Arabidopsis thaliana: one gene and its partner. The protein of the gene in region 1 interacts with the protein of each later gene in a pairwise test. Each region holds a gene or a part of one and is shown on either strand. Other genes may lie near its edges.

Region 1 (6,872 bases):
GAAGTCAGTGCCAAATACGCAGTCATGTTTTACTAAAGACCAAGAAAGTGAGACAAGATTGAGATAATCATATATCGAATAAAGTTAAAGAAGGTTACGGAAATGAAGTCGATTCTCTTACTGAAATCAACGCCCCATTCTGCATATTGACGATAAAGAGACCTCAAGAATGCTTTTCCTGCACCTAACTTGGTATTCACACTCATGAACCCATGCGACATCCAAACACAAGCCCTCTCCTTGATCCCAATATCTTTCGCTCGCCACTGTCTACCTGATTCTTCATAAGCACCTCCCTTCAACCATTAAAAGATTCACTTGTTGATAACTTCCAAACAAACTTCATAAACTCAGAAAGAATCAATCAACTCAATACCTTAACACTATCCATAACGAGACTATTTGCGTTATAAGCTTGTGTGCTGATTCCTCCCATAACATGAATCCCAAACTTCAAACCCATTCTATGAACTTTCTCAGCAACTTCAGTGAAACCTTTACCGCCTCTAGAAGATGGCCATCTACCTGGATCAGGATGCAATCTTCCCCATTCATCAATCACATCAAACCCAAGAGAATCCACATAAGCTCCTTCAACTTTCTTTCTATACCAAAGGTAATCCACCACAACATACTGTATCCAAATCAACACACACAAACACAAGCAATTAAAAACCTAAACTTTTACATTCTAAAGGATAAAGAAACTCACAATTACCTGATAACCATGAGGAAGAAGACGCTTAGAAACAATTTCAGCACTCTGCAAGAACTCAGCTTCAGAGATAGTCCAACAAAAGGAATCGTACGAATTCCATCCTCTTGGAGGAAAGCTAGCATGTTGTTGCCTCGACCTTGCTTCAATCGATAAACTGAAAAAGACGAAACTTTTGTGATTGATCGATCACTCAAACACCACCCACTCAAAAACCAAAATCAAATTCAAAAACCCAGTGAAGCGGAGTACCTAAAAATGGATAGATTAAAGATGATGAAGAAGACAGTGGACCGGGTCGACCCGGTTTTCTCTACGGATAGTCCGGTCATAGAGATGAGAACTGATTACGATAGCTTCTGATTTTGTTTTCCTCTTTTGTTGTTGAGAACCTGAGAGTAAGAGAGAAGACAACACGCAATGGTTGTGTTAATGGCGGGTACTATTAGAGAGCGTGACAAAAAATTAAGAATTGGATTAGTAACCGTTGAGCTAATTTTCTTTTAATTAAAGTTTAGTGCATCAATTTGATCAAATTTAATATAAAAAAGAAACTTTTTTTTCATCACTAGGAACTTTACATAATATCAAAATGATTACAAAGATGGTAAATGAAGACTTCAAAGATTTGAAAGGTCAAAAAAGAAGAAGAAGAAGAAGAAAACTACGAATCTCTATAGTTTGTTGCTCCTCATCAGACAAAATCCAAGACCAAACAAAAGCATCATCATCAAGCTTTACACATGCATGGAGTGAGAGGATTTTCCCAAAGATCATAGTTAGGGAAAGTTTCTTCAGGTAAACCGGTTCGTGTTTGATGGGTTACAACTACATCTTCCACAAAAGTTGCCCATCCCATGTAAGGATCCCCAAATGATTTCGACATCAACCCTTTATCCGGTTTGATTGATTTCTGGCGATGCCCCATATATCTACGCGCTCCGATGATCAGTTTTGCAAAGTTTCCACCGTGTGTCATCACAAATACATCTGATTTCAAGCACACCAAGAAATCTAGAGCCGCAAGACTTGTAACGTGTTTTCTAAACGTTGTTAGTTCCTCTTTGCCTGCTAAATCCTCCTTTGTTACCTGATTCAAAGGACAGTTAATGTGAGAGACAAGTTTGTGCTGATTCATCAAAGAATTATAAGAGTCCGGTGTTGTGCTTACCAAATTTGGGAACATGTTTCTTAGTGGAGCCATACGGTTTTGACCGCCATAGACTTGACCAGATGCAACATAGATTTGTGTTTCTTTTGGATAGCCCATTGCACGTAGGATCACAGCAACTTCTCCTGGCTCAAGAGGGCATCGACCTTCTTTGCGCTTCTGCAAGGCGAGCTGCCAGAGATGGGAACCATTCTGCAATATATGTCAAGAAATTTCATTAAGGTAGCGGTTGAGGTTGTTTAGCCACCAAAAGAAGTTGACAACTGCTTATAAATGTCACCTTGAAACGCCGAGGCCATTCCTTTTGTCTGTATTCTGCCATTTTAACTTTCTCTTCCCTTGTCCCCACAAAATCACAGAACGATAGACCAACCATTCCTTTCTCGAATCTAAGATGAAGAGCCCTATACAAGAGACATGGGTATAGTTTTAAGTTGATATAATGCATATGGTCCTAAGTTATAACAAAGTCGAATCTCTGATATGGCATACATATATGGATTTGGATTTCCAGTGCGATTTCTCATTCTAGAAACAAGTGAATCAGCCATCTGCTCTATCTCTGGAAGAAATTTGAGAGCATGATAATTTACACGGCATCGTAATCTGTTGATTTCTTGAGGTACATTGTCATACCTGAAAAAATTTCCAGCATCACAAGAATAAATCATTCATTGTTTATAAGACGATTTCCAAAATCTGAGCACTAAACTATAGGAATATTGGTTATACCCAAGTCGATCGACAAAAGGCTTCAAGGCCATTATCTTCTTCTCCTTTATCCGAGGTAAAACATTGTCAATATAAAATTGGGCTGCTGCATATTTGGGAATGTTTTTGACTGTTCTTCTGCAGAAGATAAATAAATAACTTGGTCAACATCATATCTGATTAAAAAATACAGATCGATTTTTAAATCAGAGATATACACAAGGAGCACCCAGTGACGCCATAATTCCACAAGCTAACTTTTGAAATCGTCCAACAAGTACATCATCAACAAATAATGAGTTGACAAGCAAACCTTATACTAGAGAATAGCTCTGCTTTGTCAGTGAACCAGTCAGGTATGTCTCGAACAATTCGGACATCATCCTTCAAGTAATCAATGAAATGATCTACATCAAAAATGTCTTCAAATTTTCTGCAAAAGAAAGTTAACAAGCTCAGTAAACCAAAAAGAAAATAGAGAAGTAATTCAAGATGAAATGAAATCAATATCTGAATATGATTTTACGTTGTGTCTTTCCATATTTGGTCCTGCTTCAGTACTGGTAGAATCAGTGTTGCATTCATAATCTTGGCAACAGCTACTGCGTTGCAGATCTGGAAACAAAAGGGCATGAATTCAAGATTGGACGATGGCAAGAAGAACAACAGCCATTTAGACATTGATCCATGATTGGATAATGGCGAGAAGAAAAAGAGATAAAAGTTGGAAGATACATACAGCAATTCGCTGCTGATTCAAACCACCTTCAGCATGAATGAATACATAGCCATTTGTTTCATTCTCAGGAGGAAGATCTGAAAAAAACAGTTGACACAATCTAATAAGCTAACCAAGGAAAAAGACTTGAACTTTCACGAAAAGACAGATCAATAACACATGACAATGTGTTTCGACGAAAAAAAAAAAATAAAAAAAAAAAATAACACATGACAATGAAAATGACAATGCTCTAGCCCTTCAATACCTGAGATTCCACCAATCCGCCGCTCAGCACAAGGCTTCCAAGAAGTTGTTGCAGATAAAGGATTCTCCCAAGGAGAAGGTGACTCTTTTACCTTACAAATGCAAACCAACACACAATTAAATTTACAGGATTCAAAGCTTATGCATTCAACAAAACACATAACCAAAGTTTTCAAACACTTACATGAGGACAGTTTAGCACAATCCCATCTTTTTTACATAAATAAGGAGCATTCTGCAGAAGATAGACATAGAAGCAATCTTAGTCTGAGAACAATGTCAATCCAAATCCACCTAAATAAACAAACCCCTTTACTCAAAACAAAGCTAAATACTTTTCCAAATCGATTCCACAGTTAGAACATAGAGCCTTGAAGATCTCAATTCCTAGATCGAAGGAAGAGACTTACCAAGTGATTAATAATCCCATAAACTGAGATCAAGCTAGCAATAGCGAGAATCAAAATCAATAGAAGCGAGATTTTATTCTTCTGAGGAGAAACCCTAGGATCATCACCGAAGAAAGGAAACAAAGAGTGAAACCAGATCGGACGGTCTCGATCTCTAGAAGGATGACGTGGGCGACCATCTTCGTCGTCTCCGCCGTTAGGAGAGTGATCGTGTACATGAGGCGATGAAGAATCCTCATCTCCGGCGGCACGTAACGGAGAAGAAGAAGATCGGCTACCGAGAGAGCTCGAGTGCCGTAACTCTGCCATTGCTCGCCTCGGACTAAAAGTCGCCAGCTTAATTTCTATATCCTCTCTTCCTTTTCTTCCTCTTCACTTTCTCTGTAGATAGATACAGTGCTTCTTCAGCTCTACTATGTGGACGCTGCCATTTGAGAGAGAGCTTGGAGATTCGAACACTCCACAGAGAGAGAGAGAAATTAAAGAAGCTTTTTTTTTTTGAAAGGCTTGAATGTTCTTCTTTAAAGTCAATACTCTCTGAATCAAACAGAAGATTAGATTTAAGGATATTTACAAAAACATCCCTATATCTCATAAAACTTACATAACCACCCCTATATTAGTAAATTCTCTGGTTTTTATCTCATTTCCTCCATCGCCTCTTTTTTAACCTAGACATTCTCCATCATCACTCAAATTGGCTCTTTGATTCTCTCCGGCGAGATTCCGACCGGTAAGTCGAATTCAGATCCTATCACTGTCTCTCGTCAATCTCATTTACGTTTTCAGAAACATACTTTTTCAGAAAACAAGTAAAAGAGATGAACACGATAGCGAAGCGAGTTACGGGGTTGGTGACTCGTCCGAGTCTAAACCAGCAGTTGCAGCAAGAGCGAGGGATAAGAGTGAAGGTGTTCTCCAATGATTTAGACAAGGCACTGACGATTTTGCAGAAGAAGATGCAATCGAGTGGAATGGAGAGGCTGATCAAAGGGACTCAGACTCATCACATTAAGAATTCGGAGAAGAAGGTTCTCGCTAGGAAGAATCTTGAACGCAGAATCAAATCCATTGACTTTGCTCGAAAACTCCAATCAATCCTCATCAAGAAAGTCAGGTAATGTTTTCTGATTTTTCTCAAAAGCTTCACATTTTTTAGGGTTTTAATGGTGTTGTTTAGTTTAGTAAGATCTTGCGTATTTCTTATTGTTATTCTTTGCAGAGGTTTATGAGAGCTGAGGTGAAGCAAGAGTGCTGCTATGTTGATCAGTACTAGTATCTGTGTGTGATATAACACAGTTTTACATTTTGAACTTTTGATGAGTTGAATCAATGTGGAATTGGAATTTTGGATTTGATTAGTTGTTTACTCTATGGCTTCTCTTTCGTAAGTTTTCAATGATCTTGAGAAAGAACATCAGATCTTAGGAGTACATGTATTGAAAGTTGTTTCAGGGCAAGTGCGTTGCTTCTCCTGCACTCTGTATGACTGTGTTCTGTGGGTCTCTGTGCTTGAATTGTGTTTCTTGTTCCGGCCATGATTACTCTGAGATTGTTCTGCTTTCTTCGCGTGTAAAGCGTAGGTTAGCTCTTTCCAGGCGTTTACACTTTCATTTTATGTATATTCATGTTACTATATACCATGCCATGCCAAAGAATGGGGATAAGAGATATAGGAAGAACAATTGCACCGAAGATCGTGGAAAATACCTTTTGTATGGGTTTAGTTTTCAGTTTGCTTCCAGCTTTTTTACTAGTATCTGTTTGGTCAGGCTCGATTGGTAGTTGTCTTTGTCAACGTTTGCAGTAACCGGCATTGCAGAGTTGGTTTCATGTTTGATGCTGCAGAAATTGAGCAGAGAACAGAGTATCTACCTGCAGAAGCAACGTGTTTCGCATCAGATTTGCGCTAACTAATCTGCGGCCTTCTTGATCTATGGGAGACATATCTTAACATGTTCATAGTTTACTGACATATTCGACAAGTTTTCGTAAGTTGCTCTGAGAATCAACATCTTTCCCCTGGAGTGAGCTGAAGTAGAAAGATTGACATATTCATGACTGTTACTGTAAGTCCTTAACCCTGTCTCTCCTAAAATCGAGATCTTTTTATTTGGGTTTTAGATAAATTGGACCGAGTAATTACAATTTTCTTAAAAAAACTTTTGAATGAGAAAAAGATACAGAGAATGTTTTTATACTTTTTCATGAGATTAGAAACTGATTTTAATTTTAGTGCAAGGAATCTACAACAAAGATTACTTGCTTCGTGCTATCACTTTCCTTCTTTATTTTGTTTTCTACAACAAAGAATCCTTACTTGAACTTGTCACCAAGTTATTCTCTCCCTCTCTCTATCTCATTTAGAAACTTAAAACAGTTCAAAATCTCTCTGTTCTCATTCTTTCATCTCAAGTCTTACTTAACTTAGTTTCCTTTGATGCTTTTTAGCTTCTTCATCTAAATGTCTCATCATCATCACCATGAAACTAACCCTCATTTTGCGCGAATTCCATCGCAGAATCCACATCTCAAAAGCGGTGGTGCTTCTACCTCACAAACATCTTCGAACCAACCACACATCCCGCCCATTCCGCACCCAAAAAAATCGCACCACAAAACCACGCAACCTCACCCAGTAGCTCCACCAGGAATCCTAATCAAGACTCGTGGTCGCCACCGTGAAAATCCAATCCAAGAACCGAAACATTCTGTAATACCTGTACCATTAAGCCCAGAGGAGAGACTTCCACCACGAAAAACTCAAAACTCATCGAAAAGACCATTGCTATTAAGCCCTGAAGATAATCAACAACAACGACCTCCACCACCACAAGCACCACAACGCAACGGAGGGGGTTATGGATCAACATTACCTCC
Region 2 (7,984 bases), 8.0 Mb from region 1:
GTGGAGACATTGGTTCAAGAAGTTTCCTCAAATGCAAGAAAGATATATCACATCGCAGGGACTCAGAAGTTTGAGTTCCCAAAGGAGGAGGTTCGAATTTCAGAAGTCTTTCAGGCCGTGGAGAATGCGAAACGCAATTTCACTGTATTTGCTTGGGGATTTGCGGACACAACTCTTGAAGATGTTTTCATCAAGGTTGCTAAAACCGGCCTTTAACTAATGTCTTCTTTTGAATACTTTTAAGATTATTAGTTATGTCTGTTCCACGTCAATATTTTGCTTGTTCATGTTTGATAAATTGATAATGCAGAGGTTTGATTCATGTACATTGTTGGCTCTTCGCCTGCAAGTTTGCGAATTAGTCTGAGGTCTTGTATTAGTTTGTTTGTGGATGATGCATGTAACCACAATTTTTTTATTTAAACGTGGCTATATTTAATTGTGGATAAACCACTGAATATGAAATTTTATTTCATCTACCATTCAGATCCTAAATGTATATCTTACCATTTAATTCATATAGGGTTTACGATTTAAAATTTAGAATTTCGAAAATAGTATCTATATTAAAAGATAGTAATTAGGTCTTTTTTTCATTGAATTTTACTTAAACATTGGTAAAATTTCATATGCCATCGAAAAAAGAAAATATCACTGAAAACTATGTTAGCTGCCGGAGACAACATTTCTAAAAAGAAAGACAATTTTTAAAAAAGACTACAAAATACTCTGTTGTTCCTTTTTGTTTGATTGTTTAGAAAAAAAATTTGTTTTTAAGAAATTAATTTTTTAAGTTTTCCATGCAATATTTATTGGTTAATATTGGTGAATTGTAATTTTCAAGAAAAATAGTTAGTTATCATTGGTTTAGAGTTATAAAAAATTGTAAAACACTAAAAATAATACATTTATAATCAAAATTTAATATGTTTTCTTAATATATGTGTTTTTCTAAACAATATAAAAAAAGGAACAGAGGGAGTATAAATCAAAACTGTTAAACCAAATTTTTTACCAATTAAATCTTAATTATATCAATTGGTTCTTCTCCGAAATAAGAAATTGTCTTGATGTCTATGAAAATCACAAATTTCACTAAAAATTTATGGAGGATTCCTAATTAACTTTAGACCAGGAATTTTTCAAAAAATAAATTTAAAGATGACATTATCATGAACACATTCAAACTGAAATCAAACCAAAGTAAATTTATTTTCCCTGTAATGGACCATAGAGTATAAAGTATTTAAAACTGCTACTTATTAAATCAAAGACTTTTGTGTTTTTTATTGTGTGCAAAGACTTTTTATGTTTGAAAACTGAAATAAGACTGCTAGTAAAAATATAAACTGAAATAAGAATTTTTCTTAGGACATCATAACATTTTTGCTTCTTGTCCAAGTAACTGCCACATTGGAAAAAAATGTTTAGATTTGAACAAATCTTTTTAAAATGGTCAAAAAATTATCATAGTCAACCAAATTACCCGACACTTTTACGTGAGACATTAAAATAGACTAGTTTAATCGATTATGTTCACACGTGATTACGTCTGAGATGACGTATGAATCATCTTTATACAAATACAAATATACAGTAAACAAATAATTGAAACTCACCTCTTCCACTAGTCGAAGAATCTATTGGTCGTGGCATCACTCTCCTTCGCAGCTTCCTACCAAATTTACATTGAAAATATTCTCCATTGTCACTTTCTCGATTTCGTAAAATTACCTTTTTGTTATTTGACCAAAAGAATAACCCCAAAAAAACAATACTAATATATTCGAGAAAAATAACTAATTAAAGGTATACTTAACGAGAAATTAAAGCGTGTGCACAAGGGTATTACTGTAATTTCACATTCCGTATCTGATCTCTGTTCTTCTTTCCTCCGCCTGCTATAAACCAAAAGGCGGTGACTCGATTTGTTCCTTCTAAGTTCAAAAATTGGGTTTCCATTAGGATTCAATTTTTACTAACCCTAAAAAACAGAATCTAATACACAGAGAAAAGCGAAGGTTGTTACCTTCATCAATGGCGGATCCTGGTCCTGCCAGTTTCTCAACGAGAGCCAATGCCTTGCTTAGGAAAAACTTAACCTATCAGGTACTTTTTCCGTTTTCTTTTCCTCTACGCAATCCAATTATACACATACAAATTTTCGTTTAATGTGAGTAAGATTCTGTTCTGGGATTTTCGTTTAATAGATCAGTTTCCACAACAAAATTAGTGGCTGATTTATTGAGTAGATTCTGTTCTAATTATGTCTTTGTGTAAATTGTGTGTTGGTGTAGAAACGGAATCTATGGAGCAATATACGGCTAATCATGATCCCATTCTACCTCTGTATACTTCTAGTGATTATACAAATCCTGTTCGATACACAAGTTAACAACTCTGCTGATAATCGTTGTGGTTGTGAATGCATCGAAAGAAATAGAGCTGGAAAATGCCAAAGAGAGCTTTGCGGTTTAGAACATTCTAAACCGGATCAAGCCTTCTTTTGTTCTATCCCTCGTCCTCCACTATGGCCTCCTTTGTTACAAATCCCGCGTCCTGAGAGTCGCGATGTTAGAGGTCTTCGTGATGATTCTTGCAGAAGAACAGGATCTTGTCCTGTTACTATACTCTTTACTGGAAATAACCGTTCCCTTGGAACAAGTATGTCTCTTTTCCTTCTTTTTTATGTTTCTGTTCTTGTGTACCTACACTGGAACTTATCTTCATGTTTTCTTTAGCTGTATCTGAGAATCTGTTCACTAGTTCTGTGTCGGCGAACGCCTCTGAGATTTTGCGTACTTTAGCCAACAATGTTTTGGTAAGTTTTTTTGGTTGGTTTCTGTTTGTTTCCATTATGAAATGTGTTTCTTAGCTTTCTTGACCTCATGTTTCAGGGTACAACAGTTGAGGCAGATTTCACCAATTATCTTGATCCAGGGATTGCCTCAAATCTTTCCATCTACAATATCCAACCTCGGTGCATTCTAAATGCTACGTTTCCGTTCTCATTCGAACAACCACCTCTCAAGTTTGAGAAAGGTATTGAGTTTTTAATCCCATTGATGTTTAAGATGTCAACTAAAAAAGTTTAAGAGGGATACTAGATGTTATATATGCTTATATCAGTGTTAGCTTAATGAAATCTGGTTGCTTTCTCTGTTTTCGTATCCCGATCTTGTTGAACATGATATATCTTTCTGCAATATATTGTCCTCACTCATAGTTATCTTTCATGGAAACATCGTTGTAGTTGATTAACTTAATGTTTGTGACAAAACCAGAGTTGAGATGTGTTCAAGGATCAAATCTTTGGACAAATACCTCCAAAGAGGTCAATGATAAGATTTTCAAGGGTTATAAGAAAGGAAACCCCGAGGGAAAGATAAATGAGATCGCTGCAGGTTCGTCAACTTCTCAGTTGGGTTATCTATAATAATCTTTAATAAGCTCATGAGATTTCTGACTCTTCATGTCTGATTTTGTTGTTGGTTTAGCATATGATCTCTTGAACACTGATAGGAACAATTTTAATGTGCACATCTGGTATAATTCAACGTACAAGGACGATGCAGGAAATAGACTTATAAAGTTGATCCGTGTTCCCCGCTCAGTCAATTTGGTAAGAAAACAACAATTTACTCAAGACATCCTTCATCATTGTATTCTCACTTTGCTCTTTACCATGTAGCACCACTTTCTTTATTGAACCGATGCTTACACTTTACCAAACTGCAGGTGTCAAATGCTTACCTTCAATTTCTACAAGGACCGGGGACAAGGATGTTGTTTGAATATGTCAAAGAAATGCCTAAACCAGAAACAAGTCTTCGTCTGGACATTGCGTCTCTAATTGGCCCCCTTTTCTTCACCTGGGTTATTCTTCTTCTGTTCCCTGTAAGTTTGCCTTCAATAATACTCACCCTCATGGATAAATCTTGGAAACAACAAGAATTCTGCTTTCTCCAAGCGTAAGATACGAAATTCATATCTAGAGCCATTTGTATGCAGGTGATCTTGTCGTCATTAGTGTATGAGAAACAGCAACATCTAAGAATTATAATGAAAATGCATGGCCTAGGAGATGGTCCTTATTGGATGATTTCCTACGCCTATTTCCTTACCATATCCGTGTTATACGTTATATGCCTGATGATATTCGGGTCAGCAATAGGTAATTGAAGCCTTTCGGTTAATACATTTCTTACAATACATTATGTTTTTTTGTCAATATGAGTCTTTAATGTTGTTGGTTCCCTGCAGGACTGAAGTTCTTTCGGCTTAATTCCTACAGCATCCAGTTCGTATTCTATTTTCTCTATTTAAATCTGCAAATCGCCCTTGCCTTTCTAGTTTCTTCAGTATTTTCAAAAGTCAAGACATCAACAGGTACTAAGAACATCGTGCTTCTTGAATTTAATCAAGAACATGCTACTGGGGTTTAAAGGAACTAATGAGCTTTTCTCTATATGTCTTAATCATAGTTGCTTCTTACATATACGTGTTTGGATCTGGACTTTTGGGTTTGTTTCTACTCAACTTTCTGATTGAAGATTCATCATTCCCTAGTAAGTTATTATGATTAATTAACTTCAAGAAAGATATTTAATACACTCTGTTATGTGTTTTCACAACTGACCACGATTGCAAATGAATTATAATTTTCCAGGAGGCTGGATTATTGTCATGGAGTTATATCCTGGCTTCTCCTTATACCGTGGCCTGTATGAGTTGGCGCAATTTGCTTTCCGGGGAAACTTGAGAGGGGAAGATGGGATGAAGTGGAAAGATTTTGGTGATAGTGCAATGGATGATGTTTTTTACATCATTGTCGTTGAATGGTTTCTTGCACTCATTGCAGCATACTATATCGATAAGATATCTTCATCCGGAAGAAACCCGTTGTTCTTCTTGCAAAACCCTTTCAAGAAATCTCCTTCTTTGAGAAGACCTAGTTTGCAGAGGCAAGGCTCCAAAGTCTCAGTTGATATGGAAAAACCAGATGTTACTCACGAGGTATGTCCAAAGACTTTACAATATATTTCATGTTTTTCATAATATATACTGGTTCTGATAACAAAAAATGTTCCAATCAGAGTAAAAAAGTCGAGCGGTTGATGCTTGAGTCGAGCACAAGCCATGCGATTGTATGTGACAACCTGAAGAAGGTGTATCCTGGTAGAGATGGGAACCCGCCTAAATTGGCAGTTCGTGGGTTATCTCTTGCAGTGCCTTCAGGAGAATGCTTCGGCATGTTAGGTCCCAATGGTGCTGGAAAGACTTCCTTCATCAATATGGTCAGTCAAATGGACAAAATATTTTGTGCACATTAGACCTTAGCTTCCAATATCATTGCTGATCGAGAAACTCTATCTAGTGTATGCCCAAACGAATTGTGCGTCAGCCTTAGTAATATGTCCTTTGTTTTCTTTGTCAGATGACTGGGCTCCTGAAACCGACATCTGGGACAGCACTTGTTCAAGGTTTGGATATATGCAATGATATGGACAGAGTGTACACCAGCATGGGCGTATGCCCGCAGCATGAGTAATTAAATTCTTGAAATTCATTTCATTTTGTTCTTCACTATAGATGATATAGTTGTTTAATCATTCTCTTATTGTCTGTCGTATACCAGTTTGCTATGGGAAACACTGACAGGAAGGGAACATCTGCTGTTTTATGGGAGACTTAAGAATCTCAAAGGCGCTGATCTCAACCAAGTATGTTATCAATCTCGCTCACCTTCTATATTACTTCCATTGCTCAATCTATTTCTCATCGTTACTTATCTGCATCAGGCTGTGGAAGAGTCTCTTAAGAGTGTCAACCTTTTCCATGGAGGAGTTGCGGACAAGCCTGCTGGGAAATATAGCGGAGGTATGAAAAGACGGCTGAGCGTAGCCATTTCACTTATCGGGAATCCTAAGGTACAACACTAAGCCTTTAAAAATAGTAAACCAAAAGGGATAAGCTCTTTCAAGCTTACCAGACTCGTCCTCATTTCCTTTGAAGGTGGTTTATATGGATGAGCCAAGTACAGGACTTGATCCAGCTTCGAGAAAGAACCTATGGACTGTCATCAAGCGTGCAAAACAAAACACCGCGATAATCCTCACAACCCACTCAATGGAAGAAGCAGAATTTCTATGTGACCGATTGGGTATTTTTGTGGACGGAGGCTTGCAATGCATTGGCAACCCAAAAGAGCTGAAGGGAAGGTACGGTGGATCTTATGTGTTTACGATGACAACATCTTCAGAACACGAGCAAAACGTGGAGAAGCTAATTAAAGATGTCTCCCCAAACGCCAAGAAGATATATCACATCGCAGGGACTCAGAAGTTTGAGCTTCCAAAAGAAGAGGTTCGGATCTCAGAGGTGTTCCAGGCTGTGGAGAAGGCGAAGAGCAACTTTACCGTTTTCGCTTGGGGACTCGCCGACACAACTCTTGAAGATGTCTTCATCAAGGTTGTGAGAAACGGTCAGGCCTTTAATGTCTTCTCTTGATCTTCTTAGATTCATACGTCCATATTTTGTCCAATGTCAATATTTGCTTATTATGTCAAATTGCTACCACATGATACGAAATTAGTGTTTATAAGATTTCATGTATATTACTGGAAATATGTTACAAGTTCCTGATTTTTCAATGAGATTATACTTGAAACAATTACTAGCGCTCCTGAAGCAAAGAGGCGACACTTCAACACTAGGAGATGTTTTTCAATGTCATAACCATTTGTTCTACTCTGTTTCGGAGTTCATGTATCGGCTATTAAAGTTGGTTGGTAGCAATAAACCCATATTTTCGACATTGTCGTAATAATGAAAATAAAAAACCATATCTATCTTATTATATTCATATTTGTGTAGGTTTTGGTAGAGAGTTCATTTCTTAGGTGAGTGATGCAAATGAATACTATTACTTGACCTACACGAAATATCATACAAAAAATCACAGTGCTATTGTCCAATACCTGTATGCCACTTCAGTAACGTGTATAGTTAAACTGTTATCTCTTAATTCTTGTTATTTTTAGTGTGCACATCTAAAAAACAACATTTAGAGACTTCTTAAAAACTATTCAACTCCATCAAACCTTCTCATATTCTCTGCGATGGCGGATTCTAGTCCTGCAAGTTTCTTGACTCAAGCCGACGCTTTACTGAGGAAGAATTTAGTTTTCCAGGTTTCAATACACTTTTAATATCTAAAACGGCTAAGACAGAGTAAAAAGTTTACAATGAGGTTTTGTTTCCTTTTGTTCTTTGATGCAGAAACGGAACATATGGAGCAACATACGACTCATCACAATCCCTTTCTTTCTCTGTTTACTTCTCCTTGTTATTCAAATGCTCTTCGACACTCAATTCAACGACGTCCATGGTCAATGTGGCTGCAACGAGAAAACTTGCGGCTTAAGGTATTCGACTTCAGAGCAAGCAGCTTTTTGTGCCATTCCTAATCCACCACAATGGACTCCACTACTTCAGATCCCGGCTCCTGAATACCGAGCCGCGATCCCATACCCGAGCCATACTTCCCCTGCAACTTTTCTCTTCACCGGGAATAATCAGTCGCTCGGAAATAGTATATAAACCCTATCAATCTACTCCTTTGAGATGTGAAATTTTTATATGTAACTCTTTTTCTATGGTCAACAAATTTTTTCTTTTGCTAGTTCTAATGGGAAATATGTATAGCAATTCATCTGGATTTGATGGAGATTTAGCCTATTATGTCTTGGTAAGTTTCATGAAACAATGTTACATCATGAATATGTTTTTGTGTGTTTCTCAGTCTCTGATTTCTAATATATATATGCAGGGCTCATCATCTTTCCCTGCATACACCAATCATATGGACTCCGCTTTCATCTCAGATCTTCCCATCTACAACATCCAACATGAATGCTCACCAAACTCTTCTTTCTCAATCTTAATTCACCAATCACCTCTTGCTTTCCCTAAAGGTCTAACA

Evidence for each region. The genes of interacting proteins can lie anywhere in the genome.
Region 2: the proteins of AT3G26370 (region 1) and ABCA7 interact in a protein complementation assay, tested with the Arabidopsis thaliana proteins (one large-scale study listed by BioGRID).

Annotation. Positions count from the first base shown.
Region 1 is NC_003074.8:9,654,315-9,661,186, reverse strand, and holds AT3G26370 (O-fucosyltransferase family protein), read right to left. Parts: upstream 4,508-6,872; 5' UTR 4,302-4,507; coding exon 3,993-4,301; intron 3,818-3,992; coding exon 3,767-3,817; intron 3,675-3,766; coding exon 3,584-3,674; intron 3,414-3,583; coding exon 3,337-3,413; intron 3,213-3,336; coding exon 3,124-3,212; intron 3,031-3,123; coding exon 2,911-3,030; intron 2,736-2,910; coding exon 2,619-2,735; intron 2,523-2,618; coding exon 2,379-2,522; intron 2,291-2,378; coding exon 2,167-2,290; coding exon of another isoform or gene 2,104-2,166; exon of another isoform or gene 2,079-2,103; coding exon 1,887-2,078; intron 1,806-1,886; coding exon 1,446-1,805; 3' UTR 1,242-1,445; downstream 1-1,241. Other genes in the region: AT3G26380 (Melibiase family protein), read right to left, coding at 1-32, 122-296, 377-634, 719-872, 968-1,047; AT3G26360 (Ribosomal protein S21 family protein), read left to right, coding at 4,814-5,109, 5,215-5,224; AT3G26350 (proline-rich receptor-like kinase), read left to right, coding at 6,457-6,872. UniProt on the Arabidopsis thaliana protein: Glycosyltransferase involved in the biosynthesis of pectic type-II arabinogalactans.
Region 2 is NC_003074.8:17,622,463-17,630,446, forward strand, and holds ABCA7 (ABC2 homolog 6), read left to right. Parts: upstream 1-1,877; 5' UTR 1,878-2,037; coding exon 2,038-2,109; intron 2,110-2,297; coding exon 2,298-2,664; intron 2,665-2,741; coding exon 2,742-2,821; intron 2,822-2,897; coding exon 2,898-3,042; intron 3,043-3,284; coding exon 3,285-3,404; intron 3,405-3,497; coding exon 3,498-3,622; intron 3,623-3,738; coding exon 3,739-3,897; intron 3,898-4,011; coding exon 4,012-4,174; intron 4,175-4,263; coding exon 4,264-4,389; intron 4,390-4,484; coding exon 4,485-4,568; intron 4,569-4,669; coding exon 4,670-5,016; intron 5,017-5,096; coding exon 5,097-5,297; intron 5,298-5,437; coding exon 5,438-5,547; intron 5,548-5,638; coding exon 5,639-5,723; intron 5,724-5,801; coding exon 5,802-5,930; intron 5,931-6,015; coding exon 6,016-6,510; 3' UTR 6,511-6,823; downstream 6,824-7,984. Other genes in the region: ABCA6 (ABC2 homolog 5), read left to right, coding at 1-216; ABCA8 (ABC2 homolog 7), read left to right, coding at 7,122-7,193, 7,282-7,594, 7,686-7,750, 7,832-7,976.